3 linked regions of the Canis lupus familiaris genome follow. The protein of the gene in region 3 interacts with the protein of the main gene of each other region in a pairwise test. Links are inferred from orthologs where the notes say so. Each region holds a gene or a part of one and is shown on either strand. Other genes may lie near its edges.

Evidence for each region.
Region 1: the proteins of HOMER3 (region 3) and PAX6 interact in binary tests that used the Homo sapiens proteins (3 or more experiments, as listed by UniProt). The link is inferred for Canis lupus familiaris from reciprocal best matches to the Homo sapiens genes HOMER3 and PAX6.
Region 2: the proteins of HOMER3 (region 3) and EIF3D interact in binary tests that used the Homo sapiens proteins (3 or more experiments, as listed by UniProt). The two-hybrid records come from large-scale screens. The link is inferred for Canis lupus familiaris from reciprocal best matches to the Homo sapiens genes HOMER3 and EIF3D.

Annotation. Positions count from the first base shown.
Region 1 is NC_049239.1:36,054,491-36,064,337, forward strand, and holds part of PAX6 (paired box gene 6), read left to right. Parts: intron 1-658; coding exon 659-824; intron 825-6,694; coding exon 6,695-6,853; intron 6,854-7,337; coding exon 7,338-7,420; intron 7,421-7,654; coding exon 7,655-7,805; intron 7,806-7,904; coding exon 7,905-8,020; intron 8,021-9,847. UniProt on the Homo sapiens protein: Transcription factor with important functions in the development of the eye, nose, central nervous system and pancreas. Required for the differentiation of pancreatic islet alpha cells.
Region 2 is NC_049231.1:28,901,362-28,909,970, forward strand, and holds the end of EIF3D (eukaryotic translation initiation factor 3 subunit D), read left to right. Parts: coding exon 1-43; exon of another isoform or gene 44-1,143; intron 1,144-1,268; exon of another isoform or gene 1,269-1,402; intron 1,403-2,453; exon of another isoform or gene 2,454-2,586; coding exon 2,587-2,729; exon of another isoform or gene 2,730-2,906; coding exon 2,907-3,190; exon of another isoform or gene 3,191-3,201; intron 3,202-3,674; coding exon 3,675-3,688; 3' UTR 3,689-3,819; downstream 3,820-8,609. Other genes in the region: FOXRED2 (FAD-dependent oxidoreductase domain-containing protein 2), read left to right, coding at 7,561-8,108. UniProt on the Homo sapiens protein: mRNA cap-binding component of the eukaryotic translation initiation factor 3 (eIF-3) complex, a complex required for several steps in the initiation of protein synthesis of a specialized repertoire of mRNAs.
Region 3 is NC_049241.1:44,585,511-44,595,879, reverse strand, and holds the start of HOMER3 (homer protein homolog 3), read right to left. Parts: upstream 6,878-10,369; 5' UTR 6,742-6,877; intron 6,636-6,741; exon of another isoform or gene 6,106-6,635; intron 5,761-6,105; exon of another isoform or gene 5,067-5,760; 5' UTR 4,999-5,066; coding exon 4,985-4,998; intron 4,906-4,984; coding exon 4,749-4,905; intron 4,498-4,748; coding exon 4,366-4,497; intron 3,082-4,365; coding exon 2,974-3,081; intron 2,121-2,973; coding exon 1,999-2,120; intron 1,458-1,998; coding exon 1,301-1,457; intron 979-1,300; coding exon 865-978; intron 770-864; coding exon 683-769; intron 1-682. UniProt on the Homo sapiens protein: Postsynaptic density scaffolding protein. Binds and cross-links cytoplasmic regions of GRM1, GRM5, ITPR1, DNM3, RYR1, RYR2, SHANK1 and SHANK3.

The sequences.
Region 1 (9,847 bases), on a different chromosome or scaffold from region 3:
CTCCCTACCAGTGTCATTCTGTCTCTGTCTCCTCCCTGCTCCACTTAGGTCACCTCTGTAGCTGGGGGTGTTGAGAGGAAAACACTGACCTTTTTTTTTTTTTTTTTTGACCTTCTGGAAAATGGGAGTCAAGTGTGGGGAGCTGTTCACCTTATTTGCATGCTGCAAAGTAGAGGGTGGAGGCGCTCAGGGAAAGGCACTTGAATCAAGAAGGAAAAGGAAAACGAAAACCAAATTCTAACCTCCTCCAACTCAGACTGCCTGAACCTTCCTTCAGGTGTCAAACATCCACTTTTGCCCTAATTTAAAACAAAGTGAAAGAAGGCTCTAAAGCAAGTCTAAGTCTTTTTTGAGGAAATCTTTGAACAAAGATTAGGTCAGCACAGACAGCCAGCAGCCGTGAAGGAAATGCCCTCTCCATCGCGCATTCTCTGCCCAACTCCGTTTCCACGCCCCAAGTGATGGCTGTCATTCTGTCCAAAATGTCTCTGCAAATCCACCCACTGTCCCAGGATGGCTGGGAGCTTGTTTGTTTGTTTGTTTTTGACGTGTTCAAGGTTGTTCTTTAAGAGAGTGGGTGTGCTGAGATGGGGACGGAAGATAGGGGACTGCCTTCGGGAGACGCTACCATTTGGTTTGATTTTGGTTTGATTTGCAGGTGTCATCAATAAACAGAGTTCTTCGCAACCTGGCTAGCGAAAAGCAACAGATGGGCGCAGACGGCATGTATGATAAACTAAGGATGTTGAACGGGCAGACTGGAAGCTGGGGCACCCGCCCCGGTTGGTATCCGGGGACTTCTGTGCCAGGGCAACCTACGCAAGGTAAAAACCTGAGCACCCACTCTTGAAACTCTCCATATAGGCAGCCACTGGCCCATCTTCTCCCCCAACTTTTCCCCCTCTTCCTCACTTCTGTGCTTGAAGAGTGTAGCGGAGGGACTGTCTAGAGGCTCGGGACACGTGGACTTACCCCGTGTGAGGGTAGTATTTGTCGAACTATCTCGTTGGCCTTCGAATTTGAGGGTTGCGTGGGTCAGGAGTAGTAAGAATGTTGCTGGTGCGTGTGCCCACGTATATCATGGGCAGGAATATGCGTGTGTAAGAAGTCAGCTGAGTGGTGCCCTATTCAAATTTGCCATTAAAATGCAGGCAGAGCCCCCTTGCTGTAGAAGTGTGTGACAAGTTAACACACTGACAGCCTGCGAGGTAAACATAATTGTATCGTTTTGCTTTTTGCCGTAATTGACAAATTATGTGACTATGAGTAGGGTGCATAAGAAAGGGCGGGCAGCGAGATGCGGGGCGGGGTACAGGATAGGGCAATTGGAAGTGGTGGTCTCCCAACTCAAACAGCCTCTGGTCACCTCTGGTCATTGCCTCCGCTCCTCTGGGCCCTCCCGGTTCTCACCCTGTGTGGGTGGTGACTGCACAGAAGGGTGGAGTGAGGATGCTGTGAGCCGGCCTGCGGGGTGTCCGGAGCTGCTCCCTGGGGGTGCAGGGCGGGGGGGGGGGGGGTGGTGGCAGCTGGGAGGAGAGAAGGAATCTGGAGGGTCGCAGGATCCGTGAGAAGGAATGGAGGAAGAGGAGCAGATGGGGGGTGGGGTGGGGCCAGTTGGCTTGCCCCTCCCCTGCACACCCCGAGGTAGCTTGGTCAAGAATAGGAAACAGTTTACTCCGAAGATTAATCGGTATTTGTTGTCCTTGTGACAAGGAGATAATATGCGGGATAATGGGACGTGGCGCCTCAGTCCCCGGAGCAGGACGCAGCCCGGGGGCTCCGGGCCGGGGGCGGCGGCGCGGGGCGCGGGGCGCGGGGCGCGGTCGGGGCTGCCCGGGGTCCCTGCGCTCCCGGCCCCGCTCCGCGTGCCCCGCGCCTCCGCGGAGCCCGGCCCGAGAAGGGAAAATCGGTAACAGTATGCGAAATATCTGGTACAAAGGATGCTTCTGTCACTCGCAAGAATTTGTTATGGGAACAATCCTGTCGCTCTGTAATTGCTCATTAGAGAACGTTTTGTTTCTCATTAAGGCGACATGAATAAGCGTCTAGTTGAAGGAGACAGCTGTAGAAATGTTCCACAAGAGACCTCTGGACACGATTCGGCACCAATTGCCAATTAGACATGTCAGTTTTAAGAGCAGGAAACAATATAGGACGGACACTGGGAAGATAGGGAGCGAGGCGCTGGCTCCGCGGCTGCCCGCGCGGCCGCAGGCCCGGCCGAGGCCTCCCTCCCGATGCGCGGGCCCCCGGCTCCCCCGGGCGACCCCGCCGGCCCGACCCCGCGGCCTCCGGGGTGCAGCGGGCACACCCGGGGATGCGCGGCCTCGCCGGGCCGCGGGGTCGCGGACGGGACCCGGCGTGACGGAGCGCGGGGCCGCACGCCCTCCCTGACCTCGGAAGCCGTGGGATTCCCGCGTGCGCACGCCGGGCCCCCCCACGCGCACCCCCACCCCGAAGTTGGCAGCGCGCGCCTCGAGCCCCTGCAGCCCGGGGTCCCGGGGCGCCCTCCCCCGCGGGGGCTGAGCCCCGGGGCCTCCGCGGCCTGGCCCCCTGGGCGCCGGGGCTCAGGGTGGCGGGGGGCCTGGAGGAGGCGCGCGCCCCGGCGTCCCCGAGCCCGCACGCCAGCCCGGGGCTGCAGACCGGCCGCCCCCCCGCTCGCCCCGCGCCCCAGGTCTCCAGCGGAGGCGGCGCCCGACGCGGGCGGCTGGAGGGCGGGAAGCGAGGGCCGCGCAGCAGCGCCCCTGTGCTGCTGGTGGCGGCGGGAGGTGGCGCTCATCCAGGAGCTTGGAACTTCTAGGCGCCGACGGGCCGGAGAACGCGGACGCGCCCGCAGGAACCGGGGTGCGGGGTGCGGGCGCGGGGCGCGCGGGGGCGCGGGGGGCGCGCAGGGGCAGGTGCAGGTGCAGGTGCAGCCCGGGAGCCCGCAGGCCCCTGGGCGCCCCGACCCCCCCTCCCCCTCCTCCTGTCCACCGCCCCCTCCCCCCCGGCCCGCCCGGGGAGCCGTCTGGGGGCTTTAAAGAGTCCATTACTCCGAAAGCATAAGGCGAGGTTAGGTCTCAGAGGGAGACAAATACGGTTTCCATCTGATCAACGCCATGCGGCGGCGAATGAAGTCGTGACGGCGCGGCCTGACAACAAGAGACAACTCTATCCAGCCCCAATTCTCCGGCGGTTTGCTGGTTTTAGGGATCACGGAGACACTTTTTCTTATCTCCTCCCCCACCCCCACCCCCACCCCCACCCCCATAATACCCAGGCCCTCTATAGGATTTAGTCAGGCTCTTTTCAACAGATGCTACAATGTTTTGATCCGCGCTCCCGAGCTGAGAAGGTGCCGCAACCGGGTTGCTATCTTTTCTTGCTTGTTTTCCGCCTCACTGATTAAGACACTAAGAAACTAAGGAATGATTTTATTTCCCAGCGTCTTTTTTTTTTTTTTCCTTCTTCTCTCCCTCTCTCTGCCTCTCTCTCTCTCTCCCTCCTCTCCTTCTTCCAGGAAACAAATCCTATCCCCAGCGTCAGATGGTCCTGGGGCTGTGATAATGGGAGGCGCTTTCACTCGCCTTCTCACGGATTAGGCTGGAAGGTGGACGGCGCCCCTTGAAGGCCCCTTCTCTGCGCGCTCCGAGGGGGTTGCCTTTTAAAGAAGATATCTTAATTGTCTGCCACTTAGGTTCATCATACGGAGAATTCGAGAATTGTCCAACTTTTAGTGTGATTTTCTTAAAAGCCTTAAGAGTGGAAGGTAAATCCACTAAAGGGGGAAAAAAAAGAAAAAGAAAAGGGCACCCAGTCCTAGAGAGTGACCTCTCCTTCAGTGCCTGGCTGCCAACAGTTGCTACTTGGAAAGTAGCAGACAAACTTGGAGCGGGGGCTCGCCCGCCCTGTGGGGTTTGGAGGGATCCTGCGGGCTCAGGTTTCCCCTGATGGGCCTCTAATTCCCCCCGCTCCAAAGGGCTCTCTATCCCATTGACCCCCTAAATGTCAGGTGTCCAGTGAGAGCCACGTCTGAGCCTTGGTTGGTGTATAAGAGACAGTGAGACACAGAGAGAGATTGGGGGGTGAGGGCTGGGAGCCAGGGGCAGGAGAGCGTGCAAATCTCCCAAGTTTTAAAATTGGGAAAATGTCAGAAAGGAGAGCAGAGAATGTTATTTGCAGGGGTCTTCTAGGGAGGTGGTGACCTGGGTAGCTTTGTTTAACTGGTGAGATCAGATATGCCAGAGAAGGCACTGGGGTGGGCATGAGTGACCTGGCAGGCACGAGTACCCCCCAACCCAAGAGAGGGCTGTGTTCCCCTGAGCACCCCTGTCTCTGAACATAAGATGGTCTGAGATTTTTGTGTTTTCCAAAAGCAATAACCCACAGGCCTCACTTCTAGTTAACTGGCCCCCAAGGGCTATTTCTAAAGTCCTTCTCGTCCACCAAATCTCAAAATAAAGTGGGGGAAGGGGGCTCTTCTTTCTTTCCACTTTGGAAAGTCACCTGGAAACTTGGGGCAGGAAATTAGTGCAGACACTTGTGCCCACACACTGAGTGTCTCCCTCAGCCAAGTAGCCCTCTCCTAACTCACCAGGTCTCTGAAGTAGCGCTGGAGGACCTAGAGTAGAGCCTGCCTGTTTAGGGACTCTCTCTCCCTTGTCTTCCTTTTCTCCTTTCTCTCCCTGTCTCCTTAGACCCTTTGGCGTCTTTTTCCTCTCAGCACTTTTTTCCTGTCCTTCTTCTACCTTTCTGGTCTCTATCTCTTTGAAGCCCTCTTTCTTCCTCCATCTTTTTTCCGCCCCCTCCCTCCTCCTCTCCAACCCGCCCCGTCAGGGTCCCCGCATCCTCCCTCCCTGCTTCCCTCTTCACCCCAGACCTGGTCTCCATCCTCTCGGCCTTCCCCGTCCGCCCCTCCCACACCAGCCCGCCCCGGTCCCCATCCACTTTCCCTGCCTCCCCCCACCCCCTGCCCTGGCCCCCCATCCACCCTCTATCCCCCCAGCCAAGCGCCCTAAATAGCATTGAGGCGCCTGCTCTTCGGACAGTGATTAATGATAGCAGAGCAGAGGGGTTAACACACTTCACTGAAAAGTCTGTTGACTGGGCTTCTTGTAACACAATGTGGCCCGCTGCACGCCTCAAGAGAATCCTTTTGTTGTCCGCGCTCATTGTGGCCTCAAAATTCTGCCCACGAAAGTTTGCCAACGCTCCTGCCCCAGGAGTTTAATAGTTTCCCTTACTCGCCGGGCATTGTGCGGCGCTGAAAAGCAGCCCCTCGCTATTCAAGTGTTGGTGGTCATCTCAATAGATCTCCAAGGGCCCATATGGTGGCCAGTGCCGATGAATCCGCCTGTTTAAATGGGGGAGAAAGTTGGGGTTTTAAAACATTTCAAAGTTCCTGAAAAGATCCCACTAGATCCTGTCACAATTCCCTGAACTCTTTGAAGGCGCTGCCTATTGTCTCCTGGTTATAAATGATATTCCTGGCCAAGTCGATTCCCACCAAGGCGCCCCTAGAGGCCCCTCCCCGCCCCCAAATGGCCAAATTTCTAGGATGGGGGGTGGGCAGCCCCTGTTGGTATCCCTTGGGGGCCTCAGGACCCAAGACTTCGGACCCAGCTTGCAGTGGCCCTGGAGGCCTAGAGAGGGCTGAGTCCTCCAGGCTGTGGCCTCAGGAGCAGGAGGCAAGGCGAGATACAGCTAGCCCAAGTGTGCATCTTGCCCTCCAAGCAGCAAGGGAAAACAATAAAACTTTCCCCTGTTTAATGATAGAAATTACATTAAAAGTGGTGGAAATGCCCTAATTAAAAATGTACCACTTAAATGATATGCCAAGGATTCAGCTGCAGCATAGCATATTTAGCTAGTTAGTGAACTCTCTACTATTTCTTTTTTAAAATTACACGTTAAAAATTTAAAAGAAATCTTACTTTTCTCTGGTGCAACACATTACAAAGAATGGACAGTCCTTTTATCTAAATATAAAATTCCATTTTCAGCAATTATAGCCTGTTCTTGGTGATGATATAATTACAGCTGTGCTCGTAATAGGTGTCAAGGCAAAGCGCACTCATACAATAGTTGAATAAAACTGCAGAACAATGCGAGCATTTCTAAATTCACAACCTTTAAAATGAAATTGACTGTGCAGAATTCAAATAAAAACTAGATAAATATTTTTTTAAAAAGATTACAAGCTTGGTTTGGTTTCTTAATAGCATTTTCTACAAACCTATCAACATCTAATTGATTAGATAGGAATTACTGATTATGGATCAGCTGAAATCTTGAACATCATTCTTCTATTTTCCCAACAGAGCTATAGGTAAATAAATTCTGTGGGGAATGGGGACTGAGCGGGGCATTCGGGACTCAAGGTTAGTTATCAAAGGCCATTTTAATTGGAAACTTCAGCGCTTGTTATTCAAAGATCTGCCACTCTGTAACGTCTATGTTGTAAGTCTCTTCCTGACAAAAACATAAAAACGTAAAAACTTGATAAAAAAAAAAAAAGAGAGAGAGAGAGAGAGAGGTAACGGATGTCACTAATGCCTTTTATTAGGAGAAGGCTGACGCCGAGTGACCCAGAGGATGTCTTGGTGAGACTGTCAGGATGCACTGTGCTCTTGGACTGTAGGGCTATTCCCAGGCCTCTTTGGGAGGCTCCAAGTTATTCCAGATTTCTCTTACTGTCCTATTCTTTTTGTTCCAGATGGCTGCCAGCAACAGGAAGGAGGGGGAGAGAATACCAACTCCATCAGTTCCAACGGAGAAGATTCAGATGAGGCCCAAATGCGACTTCAGCTGAAGCGGAAGCTGCAGAGAAATAGAACATCCTTTACCCAAGAGCAAATTGAAGCCCTGGAGAAAGGTGATGGAGTTTTTCAAAGTAGAGAAGCAGTAAATCAAACTAAATGCCACATCTTCAGTACAAAGAGCTATATTTAGCCAGGGCCCTTTGCATAGAGAACTGAAAAGGTTTTTCTTTTTTCTTTCTTTCTTTCTTTTTTTTCCTGGGCATCTTTTCAGTGTGTGTGTGTGTTTTCTTTCTTCTTTTCATGTACCAGTAATTCAAAGAGTGAGAGTCTGACTTCTCATAAAGAAAAAAAATGATGATTTGGCTCATTCAGGCCACTGCAGGGTCCTCGAATGAATGTCATTCCAAAGAAAATTTAACTTGGTTCGAGTGGGATAGCTCTTTCAAGCATCAGTCAATGCCTGGACTAGTAGCATTTGTAAGGGGATTGGTTGGAGGTGACAGAAATGGGGAGGTGGGAACCAGCTTGATCTAGGGCTTGGTTGACACATTTTGTGTCGTTCTGGCGCAACACGGAAAACTCAACTTACTCTTTCAGAGTTTGAGAGAACCCATTATCCAGATGTGTTTGCCCGAGAAAGACTAGCGGCCAAAATCGATCTACCTGAAGCAAGAATACAGGTACCCAGGGACCACGTGGTGTCATGCTTTGTGACTCCTACCATTTGCCCTTTCTGGAGACAAAGGTGCTTCCGAGGAGCACCATTCATTTATATAAACAGTAGAAGATTCAGTCTGCTAAATGATTTGCTGCCCCTGGGGGACTGGTCCTGGGGGTGGGGAGGGGTGGAGGTGCCAGGGGGGAGGTTAAGCTGGGAGTAGGCAAAGGCCTAACCCCTTCCATCTGATTTCCAGGTATGGTTTTCTAATCGGAGGGCCAAATGGAGAAGAGAAGAAAAACTGAGGAACCAGAGAAGACAGGCTAGCAACACACCCAGTCACATCCCCATCAGCAGTAGTTTCAGCACCAGTGTCTACCAACCTATCCCACAACCCACCACGCCTGGTAATTTGCATATTCATTCTCCTCCTACTAAATGTGTCTAACCTATTTGTCCTGGCTCGGACTTTCAGCATGATTGTCTGTACTGTCCTTCTCCTGCAGTTTCCTCCTTCACCTCTGGCTCCATGTTGGGCCGGACAGACACAGCCCTCACAAACACGTACAGCGCTCTGCCGCCCATGCCCAGCTTCACCATGGCGAATAACCTGCCTATGCAAGTAAGTGAGGCCCCTGGCTGGCTGTGGAACGGCCCCGGAGAAGCGAGGAGTGGGTCAGGGCCTGCAGACCTCACTGGCCATGCATACGCCCTCGGGAGCCTTTCTCACTGCGGTGATTGGCCTCACCAGTCAAGTTTTAACACTCAGTCCAGTCTTTGAGCTGGATTGATGGATTGACTGATGCATGCTCTGAAAAAACCCATAAAAACCAAGTTAATCCGCCTCTTGCTCAGAGAGAATGGTAGCTTCATAATGTTGGGTGGGGATGGGGAGTGTTTTGGGTACCGGTGAAATTTGTACCAGAAAGCAGAAACAATGCTGGCACATTATTGGATAGTAAGGGGTTGATATACGTAAATCTGGGTTTTATTAATATGTTCATATTAATGAATACATAACTGGTGTATGCATTTTGGATATTATTTAGAGTATATGTGATAAACTAGGGAGGAAGGAGAAAAGGATCAGAAATAAGATTTATATTTGCATCGTAGGATATACTTTAATAGGGAAGAACAATGAGTTTTCTCTCTGTATCTTACAATAAGAAAAGGGATAGAGGTATTTGCTAAAAGTTTAGCGTGTCTTTGTGACGTCATTACATAAATGATGTAATGCGTCTGTGGCACTCCTGGCTGCCTGGCTGTGTTGATGTTCTTCACTTGGTCTAACAAACTGCCTCTATTCTCAGCTCTGTGGAGAATGCTTGTCAGCTCCTCTGCATGCAAGGCCCTGTCCTGGGCTACTAGCCCTTTCTGATGGAAGTTGCATGAGGCAGGTGGGGTTGACTACAACTTTGGAGGGGGATGGATTCTTGATGGAAAAAAACAAACAACTGATCTTTTGGTGGGCCTTCTATAAAGCAGGGCCTTCCATGGTGACTTTCCCAGGGCTCCTGTTTGTGCAGTACCTGGAAGGTGCCGGATGGTGAGAGACTGGCCAGCCTGAGCCCCTGCTGGAAACAGTGCTGGGGTTCCACAGACTGTTTACTCACCACTGAATGTCTTTTGACGAATTTAAACTCCAGATAACAAAGAAACAAAAAATAGATGTTTCACAGTCTTCAGACTAAAATAGGAGCAGCTAGGGAAGCAACTTCAGAGGAATTATTCACATGTTGATTTTTATTGCATCTGGATATTAACGGCCATAGATCAACTAATATATGTTAAGGAATTAAAGGCCCATTGGTTGGTGTTCCTGCAACTGCTTTGGAATTTTCCAGAAGCCAGGTTGCTTCCAGGAAATGATTTTGGGAATTAGCAACAAATGCAAGCTGAAATACTGGCAGGGCCCCAAAGGCCTGCTTGCCTCTTTGAACCTGATGTTCACAGTCGTCCTCTGACTAGAATAAGGCAACTGAATGTCTTGTTTGGTCTTGCAAATTATGGCAGCATCTTGGTTTCTGCCAAGACAACAAAATTTGTATGTGAGAAAACACTTAGAAGCAGTTACATAGGTGCTGCCGCTCTACTAAGGTCGTTTCCACCTATAGACTGGTGTGGGGTCCACCTATTTCAGATGCTAACTTTTGAAAGTTACACAACTTATCTAAAAATAAAACGTAAGAAAATGAAAAAGTTATTAGTAATTCCACCTTTCAGAGAAAATGTACTTTCTGAATTTTGGATTTGGGGGGCGGTGCTGGTCTGTCTGTCCATCAGTTCATCCTGTTAACCAAAATCTTCGACCATTTTGCAAAGGGTAGGTGTCTTCCTCTGAACCTTCTCTAGTGTGTCCCCCTTTCTGAGATGGTGAATCTTGAAAAGTTCAACATTTCTGCAGTTTGCAGAACAGAGTAGTGCTATCATCTCCCTTCTTCCTGGC
Region 2 (8,609 bases), on a different chromosome or scaffold from region 3:
GTCCTTCATCAACATCAAGACACTCAACGAGTGGGATTCCAGGGTGAGGCGCGTTTGGTCGCCCTGGCCATTCTTCCTGCAGGGTGTGCCATCACTGGCGAACTCCCTGGTTAGCGTTTGAGCCTTGGTCTCATGCCCCCCCGGGCATCATACAGCTACCAGGAATTTTTTTTTTCCCCATCTGAGTTTTTCCTCCCCATAATTCCTCATTGAGGAGATTTGTGTCTATGTGTAGAGAATGTGGTTACAGTTTAAGAAGTTTTCTTATTTTGCACATAGGAAGCGGTAGTAACTGCCTTCTCATGGGATTTCATCTGAAACTGTTCCAGTCTGCCCTCCTGTTGGCTTCTGCCCTCTGCAAGCGTGGGGGTTTGGTCTCTCATCGTCTGGGTTGGCGGGTTTCCTGGAAGCCCTGGAGCTCTTTTGATCTGTTCTTTCACTGAAAGCAGCCACTACCTTCTCTCCAACCTTTTGGTTTCTTCTTCCAACTCCTTCACTTCTTGAACTCAGAGATTCTCAGATCAGTGAAGATTTGACTCTTCAGGAGGCCTCTTGAAAGAAACGTGCTTCCTTCATCTTTCCTGCTTCTGCTGCCCTCTCACGCTAGTGCTCTGTGATTGTTGGGCTGCTCCCCTTCCTGAAGCTGCCCAGGCTTATGTGCCTGACTACAGTGGGTGGCAGTGCTCCTGGGGCTGTGTACCAAATAAAGGGTCCTCCATGGGAAGGACGGCTCAGGCTGAGCCTCTGTCAAACGGGGTCTGATGAGATGGAGTCTATGGGCCATTTTGCTCTGCCTTCATTAGAGCCTTGGGGCTAGCATTTACCACCACTGATTCCCACTCCCCAGTCTCTGTCACCTGATGAAAGAGCACACCAGAAGCCTTGCTACAAACTTAGCTCTGGGGCCAGTGGCCTCATCCTAGACTTTCCACCAGGCCTCCCCATAGCATTTGGCATCACTGTAGCCATGTGGCTTTGCCCCCTGTGCTGCTACCTTACCTGGACCCATATGTTTCTTCCCTCCCTTCACTTGTTTTCTCTGCTGGTTCTCCTCCTTTTTGACCTCCAATGGATCCTTCTTTCAGGGAGTTCTTTTTGCCACAATTACGTCTGTATACCGCCTCATATTAGTTTTCTTTTGCTCTGTAACAAATTACAGGCTTAAAATGAATCTGAAGGCTGTGGAAGAAACTTCTAGGCTCATTCTACTTAGCAGAATTCAGGGTTCCTTGCCATTGTGGGACTGAGCATCCCCATTCTCTTGCTACCTGTCGCCTGCGGCTTCTCGGCTCCTAGAGGTCACCCACATTCCTTGCCCCAGGGTCCCCTCCATCTGCAAATCAGCAACAGCACAGCACTTTTCTCCTGCCTCCAAACTCCGACATCTGTGTCTGGCTTACACCTGGATTTAAGAGACTCATGGTTATGTAAGGCCCACCCAGGTGGTCTCCCTTTGTTAAGGGACTTTAAGTATGTGTACAGAAAACCTTTGACATAGAAGGGGTAGCATAATTATGGGCGTGATGTTTCCTCAGCGGCACGGGGCCATGCACACATGGGAAGGGGCCATTGGGGGTCATCTTAGAATTATGCCTACTCGAAGCCTCAACAGTGAATTCTAACAGTGATTCCTCAGATCTGCTCTGATTCCTTTTCCATTGTTATTCTGCTGAAATCTCTTTTCCCTCCAATGTCTTCATTTCTCTCCTGCTCCCTTAGGCTCAGCCTCAAACATCTCCTCTCCCTTGGTTCTGCCAACATCACCCCAGTTTAGGACACTGTTAATCATGCCTGTTACTGCGCATTTACTGACCTCCTGAGCACCCTCCTCCACCCACCCCCCCACGCTGCTTCTGTCCAGCACAGATGTGTGGAGAGGCTCATGAAATGCCACAGCAGTCTCGTAAGGGTGATTTTTGAGGGAAACATATCTATCTCTGAATTTTTTAGGCCTAGCTTCTAAAAGAACTCTAGTATTTATTAGCCTCTGGTTTCCATGAACCAAGGCAATCTGAGAATCTCTGCCATGTGACCCTCAACTAGTCACTTCGCTCAGAGTCCCAAGTTCTACATGTATGAGAGAGGTGGTTGGAGAAGATTATCCCTTCTTTTTATGCACGTGCATATACACAGGGTTAGACTCTGGCCTCCACCTCCATGCAAGGCTGACCCGGCCTATGACCTGTCTTTCCCTGTCTCTCTCAGATCACACCACCTCCAGCCTCTGTCCATGTCCTCCCCTTGGTTAGCTATTCTGTTTCCTCCATGGAACCATTCCTTACCACACAACACATGCTGAACGCTTGTCCTTGCCATTCATATGGTACTTGTTCACTTGTAAAAGATGTGTCCTTGTCTAGACAAGAGGAGTTACACTTTGCTGGGTGCCTGCTGTGTGGGAGGCTGCGTGCAGAGGGACCATGTCTTTGCTGTTTTAGAGGTGACAGTCTTACCTGGGATCTACCTGCAGACTAACCCACTTCCCAAGTCAAGCCCACAAGGGAGTTCCTTCTCTGCTGGAGGAGGTCCCAGGCCTCGGGCAGGAGGAGCCGCCCCTCACTCTTGTGCTGGGCTTGCCTTCCACAGCACTGTAACGGCGTTGACTGGCGTCAGAAGCTGGACTCTCAGCGAGGGGCTGTCATTGCCACTGAGCTGAAAAACAACAGCTACAAGTTGGCCCGATGGACCTGCTGTGCTCTGCTGGCCGGATCTGAGTATCTCAAGCTTGGGTGAGTTTTGTGTCCAGGGGTCATGAATGCATCTGCTACAAGGAGGGGTCTGTGGGCAGGGAGAGCAGGGCTTGCCTCTCCCCTCTCCCTTGGGAAGCACTGATTATTTGGCCCTGGGTGTTGCTGTGACTCTGTGCAGGCCTGCCTCCACCACCAACACCCCTTTCTTCCCGCTAGTTATGTGTCCCGGTACCACGTGAAAGATTCCTCACGCCATGTCATCCTGGGCACCCAGCAGTTCAAGCCCAATGAGTTTGCCAGCCAGATCAACCTGAGTGTGGAGAACGCCTGGGGCATCCTGCGCTGCGTCATTGACATCTGCATGAAACTCGAGGAGGGCAAGTACCTCATCCTCAAGGACCCCAACAAGCAGGTCATCCGCGTCTACAGCCTGCCTGATGGCACATTCAGCTCTGATGAGGATGACGAGGATGAAGAGGAGGAGGAGGAAGAGGAGGAAGGTGTGTGTAGCAGGCCTCTTTCTGAGGTCCAGGGTGGCTATAGGCTAGCTAGGGACTGAGCTCTGTAGCCCTGGTATAGAACTGCCGGAGAGCTCCCTGAGACTAGACTTTGGAGAAGTCTTCACTCTATAGAGCCAGAAGCTGTTTTAAGAGCCTTTAGATCACCTGAGGGGCTCAGGGGGAGTGTGGCCTTTGAGAGGCTAGAGTGAGGAAGAAGCATCTAGAGAAAGGCAGTGGAATGGTTAGCCAGTGGTCTGAAGGAGAAAAGATGCTCTGTGCTAGTTAACACAGGCTCAAAGCTGCCTCGTGCCTGCTATTCCAGCTGGTGACTGAAGGAAATTCCCCTTAGCCCCACAACAGTCCAAAAGGCTTAACTTCCAAGTGGAGATGGTAAAAAAAAAAAAAAAGAAAAAAGAAAAAAAAAAATCACAAGCAGGGCGCCAGTAGGACATGGCTCATTTCTCTGACATTTTGTGTCTTTCAGAGGAAGAAACTTAAACCGGATGGTGACGTGGAGCTGGAGTTTGTGATTCCACTGAGCTTAGAAGGCTTTGGATGCCCAGTGGAATGCTTGTCTGATTATTGTTGAGGTTTGAAGGTGGAATAAAGTCTAACCATTTAGTCTCCTACCTTCGTCACATGCTTACATTGTGATTGACAGCCCTTATGCCTTCCCCCAGGAGCTCTTGGGAGAGGGAGAGTTTGCAACAGCAGTTTACTATCTGGAGTTCATAATCAGGGCTCCTTAGTTTGTTCCTGAGCATCATTCATCGTATAGTCCTGTTAGAGGGTGAATGTCCTCGATATTTTTGTTCTTAGAACCACTTGACATGATCCTCTCCTGGGGATTTTGCCCTGGGGATGTGTCAGCGCGTGATGGAAGTCCCCATAAGATGTCCATTTGTACAGACGTGGGTGCCTGCTGGCTGTGTGCCAGACCCAGCTGCTGCCCTTAGAGACACAAATAACTCATAAAAGGCAGAGCAAGGCATGGTCTTTGAAGGCTAGAGTGGGTTTACTGTTCATGAGGGCCATGCCCCAGGAGATTTTTTTTTTTAAATAAATTAATTTTTTATTGGTGTTCAATTTACCAACATACAGAATAACGCCCAGTGCTCATCCCGTGAAGTGTCCCCCTCAGTGCCCGTCACCCATTCACCCCCACTCCCCGCCCTCCTCCCCTTCCACCACCCCTAGTTCATTTCCCAGAGTTAGGAGTCTATGTTCTGTCTCCCTTTCTGATATTTCCCACACATTTCTTCTCCCTTTCCTTCTATTCCCTTTCACTATTATTTATATTCCCCAAATGAATGAGAACATACACTGTTTGTCCTTCTCCGATTGACTTACTTCACTCAGCATAACACCCTCCAGTTCCATCCACATTGAAGCAAATGGGCCCCAGGAGATTTTGACAGATATTCCACTGGGTGGTGATTGCTGTTTGTAAATTGTTTTGGTTTGGGCGATGACAGTCCCAAGCTGGCGCCCTCATAGAATGTGTCATAAATCAATTATACATCTTCAGTTATATAAACTTTTTGTAAGTGAATAATGTTCTAATCTTGATGGTTTGAAGTAATTACCTTGCCAGGTATTGTACTAAGCTTTCCATAAATACCTCATGAGCCTGACCCAAAACTGGAATATTGGTCGAAATGATGCCATTGTACTGATGAGGAAACAGGCTCAGCTTTTGAGTAACATTCTTGAAGTTACTATTTTAATCAAAATAATTGAGCCTCAGGGGCACTCAAGTGGCTCAGTTGGTTAAGTGTCTGCCTTTGGCATGGATCATGATCCTGGGGTCCTAGGATTGAGCCCCACACTGGGCTCCCTGCTCAGTAGGGAGTCTGTCTCTCAGTCCCCCTCTGCTCCTCCCCCTGCTTATGTGCGTGTACGCACTCTCTCAAATAAGTAAAAATCTTTAAAATAACTGAGCCTAAGAAAGCAACCAAACATTTACTGGTTTTGCTAAACAACTAGGACATGAAACATGCTGCTGTTTTTTTGTTTGTTTGTTTTTAAGATTTTATCTATTCATGAGAGAGACAGAGAGAGGCTGAGACACAGGCAGAGGGAGAAACAGGCTCCCCCCATGGGAACCCGATGTGGGACTTGACCCCAGGACCATGACCTGAGCCAAAGGCAGACACCCAACCACTGAGCCGCCAAGGTGTCCCTGAAACATGCTTATTGTAGAGCCTTTGAGATAGGTAGATTGTTAAAAAGTACACATTACAGTGATGTAACAAGTGCCATGGGGTTTCAGAACTGGGCCTGGTCGTCACCAGACTGCCTCTCGCAGACCCATGATGCAGTCCAGCAGGATTAGCTGGGATGAGTGGGCAGGTGGAAGTCAGTTTCAGCCCTGGGCCCTAAAAACTTTGCACCAGCTTCCACATGCTTCATTTATTCAATTTATCCCCAACTTGTATGTGTCCTGCTTGGGGCCATCAAGCTGCTGCTTCAGTGCTGACTCAAACCGCCCACTGTATCCTGCTGCTTTTCAGCCCAGCTTTCAGACGCTGCCATAATTTATCAGTCCTGCCTTCCCTTTACTCATCAGGTAGGATGAGCATCTAGTTTCAGGTACTTGATTATTTGCCAGCACCCAATCTCACATCTTCACAACCACCAAGAAGTAGGCCTTCCTACCTTATTTTTGGTATTTTGCATAGCCTGTCTGGTTTCAGTGTTGATTGAACAGATGGTTACTGGTAGCCTGTATGCCAGGTGCTGGAGGAAGCACTGAGGTCACGAGAGAATAAGATCATTTCTGCTCTATGGGCCTTTTCTCTGATACGGATACTGGCTATAAACGGATGAAGTGGCACTCCTTAATGGGTACTTTGTTCTGAGAGGTCAGGGAAGACTTCTTCCCCAGGGAAAATTTTTAATAAGCTCCAGCCATGCAAAGCTAGACCATAGACCATCAAGTTCTTTCCACAGCAGGCATGGCTGCTTTCCCGTGAGAACCCTCAGCCCCATCTCACTGGACTATATAATGACCCTTGAAGGTTTCTGTACTCCTCTCAAAACAGCCTAGGTTCTGCCCCTGTAACTCCAGCCAGGGTCCACATTCCACCCGTGCAAAGCCAGCCTTGATCACCCAGTTTACCTCAATGGCGGCTCAGGATCATCTTCCTGCTGTTCACATTCCCTCCATTTCAGCTCCACTGGTACCTGTGTATGAGCAGTGGATTGGCGTCTACACTGGCCTATCGTAGGCCACTTTGTTTACATTACCGAGAATGCAAAGCAAGATTCGTGAATAAAACACTTAGGAAAGAGCTCGTAATCTGGAGTAAAGAGGGGGTTGGGGAATGAATTCCAGGTTCCGCTGAACTGGTTGGTCTCTTCTGCGAATCGCCGCTAAACCTCCATTTGGCCGGTGACTACAGAATGCGGGAAACAATCGCCTACCTCTCCCGGCTGGTGGGACACCCAGCCAGGCACGCCTGTCAGTCAGCAAGCACCTGTTAGTTGCTGTTCTCCGTGCCACCTTCGGCCTGGCTTCCCGTCCCCCAAAGGTGGGGAGCCCGCAGGGGTTTGGCTACGTCAACGGCGGGGTGGAAGCACTGCACTGATCTCCAAAAGCCATCGGCCCCCGCGCCTCCCCGCACCTGGAGAGGCTGAGCCTGAACGCCCGCGCCCGCCCCGCAGCCCGCGGCCAGCACGTGCGCGCCCGTCCCGCGCCGCCCCGCCCCTCCCGGCGTGCCGCGCGCCGCGCACGTGACGGCGGCCCCTGCGATTGGCCGCGCGGGAGGGGAGGGGCGGGGTGGCCGCGGCGCCTGCGGGGAGCGCCGCCTTAGTCCTCCGCGGGCTGCGTCCCGGCGGCTCGGTCCGCGCTCCGTGCGGCGAGGCGGGCGCTGCGGGCGAGGACAGCGCGCACGCGCGGAGAGCAGCCCCGGAGAGCGCGCGCGGCGGCAGGTGTGCCGGGCCGTCCCCGTCACGTGGTCAGCGGTCGGGCGCGCCGGCCACCTGCAGGGGGCGGTCCTGCGGGCCACACCTCCTTCGGGCTGGAGCCCCTCGAGAGTGAGCGGCGAGGACCCGGGAAGGGTGTTGGGCACCCCTCAAATTAGGGGGCGGACGGGGGAACACCTACCCTCGTGCCACCGTGGCGATGAGTAGGGGGGTGGCTCCCCTGGCAACCGAGGCCCCGGAGGCGATGGAGGCGTTCGGATTCCCTGGGGGGAGCCCCAGTTTCGAGCTTGAAAGGAAGGAGGCAGGCAGATGAGCTCGGAGGCCCCTGGGTCGTGGTCCCGGCTCGACCGCGCCTGGCGCTGAGCGCCCACGCCAGCCCCCCCCCCACCCCCGGCCTCGAGGGGCCACCCCGAGCGAGGCCTCACGTCCCGGGCTGCTGCAGGATGCGCCTCGCGGCCGCGGCCCGGCTGTGGGGCCCGCCGGGGCTGCTCCTGACCTTCGCCCTGCACCCGGCGCTGTGCCTGCGGCCGGGCCGGACCGCGGCTCCCCCGCACCGGGACTACTGCGTGCTGGGCGCCGGGCCCGCGGGGCTGCAGATGGCCTACTTCTTGCAGCGGGCCGGGAGGGACTACGCCGTGTTCGAGCGCGCCCCGCGGCCCGGCAGCTTCTTCGCGCGCTACCCGCGCCACCGCAGGCTCATCAGCATCAACAAGCGGCACACGGGCAAGGCCAACGCCGAGTTCAACCTGCGCCACGACTGGAACTCTCTGCTCAGCCACGACCCGCAGCTGCTCTTCAGACACTACTCCCGCGCCTACTTCCCCGACGCGGGCGACATGGTGCGCTACCTGGGCGACTTCGCAGACCGGCTGCGGCTGCGCGTGCTCTACAACACCACCATTGCCCACGTCACTCTGGACAAGGACCGGCAGGCCTGGAATGGCCATTACTTCATCCTGACCGACCAGACGGGCCAGGCACACCGGTGCAGGTAAGGAACCGGTCCCAGAGCCCACCTGCTGGCACCCCTTGATCAGCCGGTAGGTGTGGAGAAAATGAGAGAACAAGGCCATTTCTTGGGTTTGGGGGGGGTTTTAGAATTGTATTCATTTAGAGAGAGCACGGGCATGCTAGCGTGCAAGCGGGGGGAGGGCAGAGGAGAGAGACTCTCAAGCAGACTCTGGGCTGAGTGCGAGCCAGACTCCAGGCTCCATCTCATGACCCTGAGATCATGACCTGAGCCGAAATGAAGAGTCCACCGCCCAACCGACTGAGCCACCCAGGCGCTCCAAGGGAATGTCATTTCTGCTATTCTTTGCTCCCACTGAAATCCAGTGCTGAGAGGATTCAGCTCAGCCATCATTGCCCAAATGCGTCCTAAAGAAAATTGTGATCAAATGTGCTTGGAAAATACGACCCAGCGCCTCCTCCAGGATTTGTCAGCATTTAATAACACGTTCACTGTGACATCAGCATTGGGTGTTCCACATCA
Region 3 (10,369 bases):
GCATAGGCTGTGCACGCTGTGCAGGAGACCAGAGGGAGCATCTCCCCAACTTCTCTTGGGTCCCCAGATCCTTTAACATCTTCACCTGCTGGACTCACGGGACATACCCCATCAACATTTTTCCGATAAAGTCTTCAGTGAAAGCCAGGCCACTCAGACCTGGGTTCAAATGCAGGCTCCTGACCTGAGGACTTGATGGGGTTAAGGATGGGAATTCAGCAGGGACTCAAAAATTGTTGAGGGGCTCCTGGGTGGCTCAGTCAGTTAAGCGTCTGCCTTTGACTTCAGTCATGATCTCAGGGTCCTGGGATCCAGCCCCGTGTCAGGCTCCCTGCTCAGTGGGGAACCTGCTTCTCTTTTTCCTTCTACCCCTCCCCGCCCAAGCTCTATCTCAAATAAATAAAATATTTGTTAATTGCTTTTGAATCAAAGAATAGGAAACATTGTCCTAATAACAGTTGTCCTTTACAAAACACTGGCTGCAACTCAGGCTTTCCATGTACCCGGTCTTCCCAATCCTTCACAACCTTAGGCAAATCTCTTCCTCACCCCTTACAGGTTAAGAAACAGGCTTGGATACGCACACAGCTGCCCAGGACCCAATAGGAAAGAAAGATCCCAGGTCTGTCCCACACCAGGAGCCGCCTGCCCCTGTGTTGTCACCCCACCCCACGACACACACCTGCACTTTCTGCTGTGCCTCCTCACGCTCCGTGGCATCCAGGGCCTCACGGGTTCCACCAGTTTGGCTCTTCAGTGTCTGGATCTCCTAGAGAAGAGTTCCCAGGGTCTATTCTGGGGGTCCTGGCTCCCTTGTGGGATGTCAGGGAAGATGAAGCCCAGGGACACACACTCAGTGCTCACCTGGTCCTTGGTTTGCACTAGAGCCTCCAGCTGCTCCAGTGACTGGCCTGGCCCTTCCTTCTCACTGACCGAGGGTGGCTCCGCCACCGCTGCCTGGGCCTCCAGCTCAGCCACCTGTGTGGATAGGAAAGTCAGCCCCTGACACCCAGCCTGAACTCTCCTGGGGAATCTGCCCTTGCTCGGTCACACCCATGACTAGGCACTCATCCCCTCTGATTGGGGCCACCAACATGCAGCAGGTAGGACTTTAGGGTTTGACAATGGTTGGCATTATCTCAGACCCATAATACAGAACAAGAAACTGAGGCTCAGAGAAATGACCTGCAGAGATCACACAGCCAGGCAGTGAACCCAAGGACGGATAGGACCTGCGGAGGCCCGGACTCCCCAGCTGCTGGGGCCACTCGGAGTCTCTGGGAGGAAGGGATCCTCTCACCCGCTGCCGCAGCCTCTCGGCCTCGGCACGCTGGGCCTCCAGCTGCTGCCTCCACTGGGCGGCGGCGGCGTTGGCTTCTCGCAGGGCGCCCGCCAACTTGTTGTTGCTGTCCTGCAGCGCGAAGAATTCCGCCTCCCACTGCACCTCGCCCACGGAGCTGCAGGGGTGCAAGGGTTGGCGGCGCGAGACCCGGCCCCAAAGGGTAGGGGCAGCGGCGGGGCGGGGCCGTGGGCGGGGCCCTGGCAGGGGCGGGGCCACCTGGGCGGGGCCTTGGCAGGGGCGGGGCCATCTGGGCGGGGCCTTGGCCGGGGCGGGGTCAAAGTAGGGGCCGGGTGCCCGCCCAGGGAGACGCACGGAAGGGGCAGCGGCGTCAGCCCCTCGGGGCGTGCTCCGAACCGGGCGCGGGTTGGAGACATCGTGGGTTTAGAATTCGCTCGGGGAGGCGTGACCGAGACAGGGTTAGTCCCCGGGAAGGATGAGGTCGGGCAGGGGCGGCCCGAGAAGGCGTGCTCGAAGGAGGAGCGCGTTGCAGGGGCGAGGTCGGCTCCAGGAGGGGCGGAAGCGAGCCAGTCTCCTCCCCTTCCCGGGCCTTGGGTACAGTCCGATCCCGCGGCCCGTCGCGCCCCAAGGGCTTCTGAGGAGCAACTCCGGGTGCCTGGCGTCCTGCCACCCCCCTCTGCTCGCCCTACCCGCCTCACCCCTCGGACAGCATCTTCTTGAGCCGCTCGCGCTCGGCGGGGCCGGGGACGTCGGCGCTCTGGCTACGGAACAGTTTCTCGTCGCCGGGGCCATTGGCGCTGACGAGGGGACTTGGGGGCACCTAAGGGCGTGCGTGGGCAGAAGAGGGGTCACACTGGGGTGTGGCTTCGGCCAAGGACCGGTAAGGTCATGGTTGGGGTCAGCGCTGATGTCACCGGTATTGTGACTGAAGGCCAGGGTCCTTTCCAGCCCTGGGATGCAAGCGCGCCCCTCTCCTCATCTACCCTCTGTGGCTCCCCATGGCCCCTGGGCCAGAGTTCCAGGCACTGTGCCCCCACTTAGCCTCCCTGGGCTCTCACCAAGGCCCCAGGCACACCTGATTCAGGCTGGTCTAAATAAACCACTGAGATACTCAAAATCTGCAAAGGTGGGGGGAGCAATGTGAAACCTCTGTGCTATTCCTTCATAGCTATGTCCTTCCCTGGGGCCAAATTTCCACCTGCTTTTAAGATTCAGACAGGAAGCCCTCCACCAGGCCGAATTCATTATGTATCCCCCTCACTGCCTGGCCCGCGGGCTCTGAGGGTCCGGAGCAGCCTGCTTTTTCATCTCTGTCACCCTCTTTCCCAGCCCTGGGCCTGGCACACAGTAGGTGGTCAGTAAATTATGCTGAATAAATTAGTGGGGGAAAGCTCCCGGGACAGTTTCTCACTTGGCCACCCCCCCCCCACCACCCCCATTAGCTATTTCAACCTCCGGGTTTTTACTCCGCCATCTAAGCTGGTTTCCAGGCCTTCGGTGATCCAAGGCTAGGCCGGACCCCCAGGATGTGCTCCTGAGCCTTTTCTTCCAAGGCTCCTGCTGTAGGTGGAGTTTTATGGGATCTGTGAGCATTTGGTCCTGGGCACCAGCACAGTACCTGGACCCTCAGTATCAGCTGAGTGACTGGCAGGCATGGGACAGGAAATACTGACCTGGTGGGCAGCGAGCGCCAGGGCTGGACTGGTGAGCTCCCCCCCATCCTGAGATTTCTCCCTCGCCAGCCTCGCTGCTTCCTTTACTTCCTGGAACTTCTCAGCAAACTGGGGGTGGGGAGGGGAGCAGAACAAACAGTCAAAGCCAACCCAGCCCCCTCTCCCAGGGCCTCACTTGGTCACCCCCACCCAGCACCACCCTTGTCACTTTGAAAGGGACTTTAGGAGTCATGCATATCCTCTGGTCTCATGAACTGGAAGAGTGGTCAGGAGGCTTGGAATAAGTTGTTCCAGTGAGCAGACTGAGTATCATGGTGGAGGTAGGATTTAGGTGGACGTGAATTCCATGGAGCCACCTTGAGAAAGGGATCCCCTGGAACGCCTGAGTGGCTCAGCGGTTGGGCATTTGCCTTCGGCTCAGGGTGTGATCCCAGAGTACAGGGGTCGAGTCCTGAATCGGGCTTCCTTTGTGGAGCCTGCTTCTCCCTCTGCCTATGTCTCTGCCTCTTTCTCTGTGTGTCTCTCATGAATAAATAAATAAAATCTTGAAAAAAAAAAAAAAGAAAGAAAGAAAGGGATCCCCTTCCTCTCAGTCAGGCTTATTTCAGCAAGGAGAGCCTCAGGTGGGTGCTGTCTTTAATGCCCCGGACACTTGTGAATATCTTTTTATAACACAGAGAAAGCAGGTCTTGGGCTCAGAGCCTCTGAGAGGCACCTGTACTCAGTGAAAAAGTAAATCACCCTCTTCTCATTCCTACTCTACCTATACCGATTTTCCAGTTAGGGTAGGATACACTGGTTTTCATTTTAAAATAAACTTCTTTAGTTTGAAAATAATTTTTTAAAGAAAATGTTTACACACAGACGGTCACTCGATTGGGGGGAAGAGACCAGTGCAAGTCGTTGGAGGGAAATCATCTCAAAAAACGGTTGAAGAGCAACTAAATACTCAGTGAGAAAAAATACTCCTGCTTTATACCACCCACAGAAATTAATTCAAGACCTAAATTTGAAAGGAAAATGAAAGCTTCTAGAAGCAAAGAGAATCCTCACGATCTCATTAGGAATCAGAAAGCACTACTCATCCAGGGGAACAATGGGATGAGACAATATTGAAGTCTGAAGACAGCAGAGGGTGGAGGGAGGCAATGATGAAGGTAGTGCTAGGGTGTGTGAGGGAACTCCCAGCTCATCCCAGGCACCCAGAGAAGGGCGGGGTGTGTCCAAAATTGGAGCAGATGGCCAGCAGAGCTGAGACATGAGCCAGGGAACCAGGAAGGGTTGTCTAATTCTCATGCCTATTCTACAGCACCTGCCCAGAGGCCCCCAGGGCCCTAAGAGGAACCCCAGGGCCAGCCCTGTCCTTCCCGCCATGTAATCCTGCAAGCCCACCTGGGTCAGATGCTGCTCAGAAGCAAAGCCAAGGCCATAGACGGTGTTGGCACGACTGTCTGCCCACTGCCCAAACTTCTGGGAGGTTTTGGTAAAGGTCATGTTGGGGGTGACGGTGCTGTTGATGATGGCCTGGGAAGAGGGAAGAGGGGGGAACACAATTCAAGCTTGATGAGACTGACAATAATGAACATGAGACCCCCAGGGTGTCACTTTGTATTAGCTCTTGGGAGGTTCTAGGTGTGAGCCATCTCAAGACAGAGACTGATTTAAGGGCTCCTCCCAACCCCCAGCCCCCAGGCACACAGCAGGGTAATGACTAGACCCAAACCTGCCTCTGAGACCTCAGGAGCCTGCCACCCCCACCCAGGCCCTGCCAGGACCTTGGCACCCCCAATGCTGATGATTCGGTAGACATTTCGGGTGGCATCATAGAAGTAGGAGACCGTGAGTGCGTGCTTGCCCGCGGGGATCCAGTTCCGCTTGGTGGCCGGGTCAATCTGGAACACATGTGCCCGTGTGCTGAAGATGGGCTGCTCCCTGCGTGGGGAGACGGTTCTCAGTGGGGCTAGGCATCCCCCAGGGGGCTCAGGGCCAAGCTGGGGAGGCAGGGGCTCACCTGGCTGTGGACATTGGTCAGGTTGGGTTGGGTGGGCTCCAAGAGGCAGCCAGAGGGATGGCAGGAGCTGCGGGTTCAGCCTCTGGGGGGAGAGAGGGATTGTGAGTGTCTCCCCAGGACAGGCTTAAGGAAACCAAGCGGGTCCAACCTCAGGACCCACCACCAGCCACACCATTCATAGAACCTCAATTAGAAAGGTAAAGGAATCAGCAGATCATTCAGCAAAAACACCCTGTCCCTCTCCTTTGGGAGGAAGCCCCCACACACCCTGAGCAGGAGATGACTCTCCGAGAGGAGCCAGGTGGCCCTGGATCTCCCAGCATAAACTTGTCAGCATGCTGGTTACTGAACCCAGAGTGACACCCCCTCAATACTGGTGCTAGATAGAGAAGGCCAAGGTGAACTCCTACTTGGTATTTTCTGCCACATTCACTCATCACTCCCCAAACCAGGATCTCCATCAAAATGTGGCCATCACCAGATGCCTCCTGGGAGACCAGTTCCTCCTAGATCCCACAGAGGGACCCCTCAGCTTCCACTCTAGGGCAGAGGCACACTTGGAGGCAGAGTCCAAATCCCCAGGGAGCTGCCAGCCTAGTTAAGAAGATGTAGTCAAACAAATTTACCCTGGTACCCACTAACCGATTGCCCATGACCACTCTATCCCAATACCATGCAGGGCTGGGTGGCATCAAGGATTGGGAGATCCCCAGCCCCTCTTGCTGCCTCCAGCCACGACCTCACAGATACCAGGAATGGCTGCCCTGGAGAATTCCTTAACCTCACCTCTGTGCCTCCAAAACCTGCATCTGGGGGATCTGCAGGGGACCAGGAGGGACCTGGGGAAGGGAGGTGGCCAGTGGGGGAAGGGAGGCCCCCCGCGGAGCGGCCTCCCTGGTCAGAGGAGGGTTGCCCCCCCACCCTGTCCTGGGCAGCTGCTGCCCGGGTCACAGGGTCTGAAACCGGAGCCCCTGTGTGGGGGAGGGGCGGCAGCGCTGGCCCGGGTTGGGAGCAAGTCCTGGGTCGAAGCAGGGTTCCAGGGTGCAGGGGTCCCAGAAACCCAGGCCCTGCCGGCCCTGACGGTCCTGCCGCGACTTGCAGCTTTGGGGAAAGTTACTCACCAACTAGTCATGTGCCTCGGTCGCCGCCGGCCGCGGGGCTCCCGGAGGAGGCCCGGACCCCGCCCGGTGCCAGGATCCCCAGTTGCGTGTGGGGGCGAAGCCCCACCCCATGCGCCCCGGGCTGGGGGGCCTGGTATTCAGTAAGGAAAGAATTCCCATCCGCGTCAGAATCGGGGCGCCCAGTGCGCTCCCCGACTTCGGGAAGTGCCACCCTCGACCCGGGAACTTCCGAGATTCGCGCGATGCCCCCCGACTCCGGGTCCAGAACTTCGGGGATCCCTCGCACCACCTCCGACTTCTAAATTCCGGGGACTCCCTGCCAGCTCTCCAGCCCCGGGTCGGTGATTTCGGGATCCTCTCGTGCCGCCTCCCAACCCCAGGCCGGGAACGTCGGGGACAGCGCAGCCTCCTCCAACGCCGGGTCCGGAACTTTGGGAACCCCTCGCCCCGTGCCCTCTCCGACCCCGGCTCCGGAACTTCGGGGCCCCTGCGCCCTCTCAAGCCCTGGAACTTCGGGGCTCCCCGGCCGCCCCCAGCCTCCCGGCCCGGAACTTCGGGGACCCCCGCGCCCTCGCCCCGGCCCTGGCACCTGGGGGCCCCCGCGTCCCCCGCGCAGGCTCGGACAGCCGGGCTCACCCTGCGGGCTCGGCGCCCCGCGAGTGTCCGGGCGCGAGTCGGGTGCTGCCCCGCGGCGCCGACTCCCCGCAGCCGGGCGCCCCGCTCGCTCGCTGGCTCCGGGGCCCGCGCCCTCCGCGCCGCCCTCCGCGCCGCCCGCGCCTTTGTCTGCGCCTCCGCCGCCGCCCGCGCCGCCTCCGGTCCCATCGCGGCCGGTCCCGACGCGGCCGCCGCCCGCCCCGCCTCCCCGGGCCGCCGAGGCCGCCCCGCAGCGCCCCCTGCCGGCCCTCCGCGGCGGGGGGGGGAAGGGAGGGGCGGAAGCCGGGAGCGGGGCGGGACGGGACTCCCTGGGGGCGGGGGGCGGGGTGAAGAGCGGGGAAGAGGGCCGGGGCGGATGGGGACAGAGACCCAGACCCAGAGGCAGAGACATGAGGGAGAGACACAGGAGGCAGACAGATGGAGGATGGGGCTTGATCGTCCTGTCGGGGCGGCCCTGGCCCTCGGGGCACTGCCTGAGGTCATGACCTTCTGCCTTTGATGGGAGTCCCTCTCCACCTGACAGGGATCTAGAGGCCGGGGCTCCTCTATCGCACGGAGCTGGGTGCTTGCACACAGTAGGTGCTCAGTGGGTGTAGCCTGGAAATGAAACAGACACAGGCTGGGCGAAAGCTAGAAGAGGCTGAGAGAGGCAAACAGTAGGCACTTAATGAGACTTGATCAGGGGTGCCCCGTTAGGAATCGTTCCTGCCTGACTCCCCCCCCAGCTCCAATCCCCTGTTGGGGAGAGGCTTCTATCCACCTTGTCTCCCAGGAGAGGAAGGTAACAATGCCAACATGGTCGAATTATCAGTATTGCTATGTTATAGGGTCTCAGAAGCCAGGGTAGAGCGAATATTGGGGCCCAGCTCCCACCAATTGTGCAAATCTCCTGGAGGTCCTCAGGCCTGGGTTTGCCATCACTGGTCAGGGGGAACCCTTCAGGCACTTGCCAGGAGAGGGTCCAACTGGAGATGAGCCAGGATCAGCCTCCCCAGGCCAGGGTCTGCCTGTGGGACCCACTTACTTGGCAGTCCAGTGGCTGCCCTTTCTCTGGACTCCTCCAAAGTCACACAGTGCCATCGGGTTCGTGGACAGAGGCACTGCAGCTCCCTCAAACCGAGGCCTACAGTTCCCTAAAGCCCTAAACCTCATGCTTGAGCTTTCCAACAATCTCAGAGATTTTGCTTTTTGCCTTCTCCGCCCCGTCTCATTTCCCTGTTTTTATTTCTGTTTTCCCCTGACCAGAATCATCTGGGCTGGTAGCTATCTTCTAATTACCTTTAGGTGAATTCCAGGTCGCGTCGTTTCTGAAGACTTATTTCCAGACCAAGATGGAGTTTACCTTGCTTCAGGCCTTTGCCCAAACTCTCCCCTACACCTGGAATGCCATTTCTGCTGGTGTATATTTGGCCTTGTCCTTCCAGGCTCTGCTCCACTGGCCCCTCTTGCCCTAGAAGCTACTCTATCTGGGGCTTGGAAGGGATCTCGCTGTGTACTGCACCAGGACCCCATCACTTTCTCTGGGACCCTTCATCCGTATTTTTTTTTTAAGATTTTATTTATTCATGAGAGACACAGAAAGAAAGACAGAGACAGACAGAAGGAGAAGCAGGCTCCCTATGGGGAGCCCAATCCCAGGACCCCGGGATCACGCCCTGAGCCAAAAGCAGACACTCAACCACTGAGCCACCCAGGCGTCCCTTCCCTGATGTGTATTATCTGTGTATTACTTCCATCGTGGCCAGGTCTGAGCAGTCTTTGGAGGACTAGCCCATCCTGGAGCCCCAGTCTCACCCAGTATGAGAGGAACCGCTCACCCCTGCTGGGGAAACTGAGGCTCAGGCTCAGTTTCCCCAGCTGCTTCTAACTTCACAAGGCATCTGCACAAGCAAAGGATTTGGCTTCACTTTCAGGCCTGAAGCCACAAAACGCTTTGAACATTGTGGGGAACAAAGAAAATACCGTCTGTTCTGTGCAAAGAGTGACTTTTCCTTATTACCAAAAAAATAATTAAAAAAAAAATTAAGTAACTGGGAAAGGTGCCGACAGGGCCGAGGCTTCTGGAGGCCACTCAGGGTGTGCTGTGTTGGCCGGCTACAGAGCTAGGGCCATGTGGCTATTCTGTGGGGGTGGCCAGGAGAGGGGCCTAGGCTGACTTTATTCCTTGTGTGGGCAGAAGGCAACAACATGACGGAGAGTGGGGAGTTGAATCACTTCCCTGGGCCCCCCTCAGGGCTCCAGGAGAAGTTGGGATGGGGCTCGCCTTGAGCAGCCCTGACCTGATGTAGTGTCACTCAAGTACAAATTGAGGGAATGGCTTTGTCAGTGTGGACCTCACTTTTTTCACCTGGAGAATGGTCTGACGCTTGCAGGGCAAAGGGGTAGAGAGAGGAAGCAGGAGAATCTGGGGAACACGAGCAGCTCCTCACTCTCCTGTGGGTAGAGACAGTAGGGGGCTGCCCCAAGCTGCCACCTCTACCCCAGCCTGAGGCCTAGTCTGCCTGGGGATGTCCTTATAGAATGGGCAGAGGCCACCACCCCAGGGTGGCTGATAAGAAGCAATAGCTTTAAAAAAAAAAAAAAAGAAGCAATAGCTTTCCCTTGGGCATGAGAGAGGGATATAAGGGAACAAACTTCCTGTCACAGAAAAGGCCAAGCAGAGCCTCGAAAAGTTTCTTCAGCTCTAGGGATGCTGTATTTGTAGAGTGGCTCTTATGGGTTAGATTCTGCTCTCTGCCTAGTTAAATCTGACCCACCTCTGGATTGAAGCTAAATTGTCTCTCATCCCTGGAGAGTTCCTATCCCACCAGATCAGGGGAAGTCTGTCACTCTTTCCCAAAGCTACGTGCCCAACTTCATGATGTGGATGACAGTGGCCATTTGGTTACTGTCCACCTCTTCCATGGTTCTGTCCCCAGCACCTAGATCAAGCCTGACCTGCAGCAGGAACTCTTGAAATGCTTCAAGAAGGAGAGGATCCTCAAGCCCCAGTCTTGGTCCTTGGTGGCCTCCAGAGTCATGTGACCAACGAGTGACTCCCAGCCCTGCCTCTTAAGAACAGTGTGACCTTAAAGAAGCCATTTTCCCTCTCTGTGCCTTAGTTACCCCATGTATAAAAGGGACATAAAAATGGTGCTGAAGTTTACTTTAAGGATCCAACAAGTCCTTGTGTGAAAAGGGCATGACCCTGACACCTTAATAAATTCTGGTTGTTATAAACATTATATTTATTCTTGGCTGTCTGGACATATGCTTTTGATCCTGAGCCAAATTCTGAATATTTTCTGTCAGGGGTTGAGAGATCAACTAGGTATGAGTTTTTAAGGACAGAAATAATATCCAACTTGGCATGATAACTTCTAAATCTTTAGCTATGGGACCTTATATGCTCCTCTAGCCACATTCATCCTCTTTCTCCATGTTCCCTCAGCCATGGCCAGTTGGGCCAGCCACCAGACCTTGGCCTCCTAAGAAGCTCCTATTCATCCCACCTCTAATGCTCCCTTCTCTGAGAAGCCATCCCATGTCTCCCTCTAAACTCTCCCCAACACCCTCCCTCCTTCTGACCCAACTCTGATCCTAGGGACTAGGGGTGTCTGTGTCTAGCTCT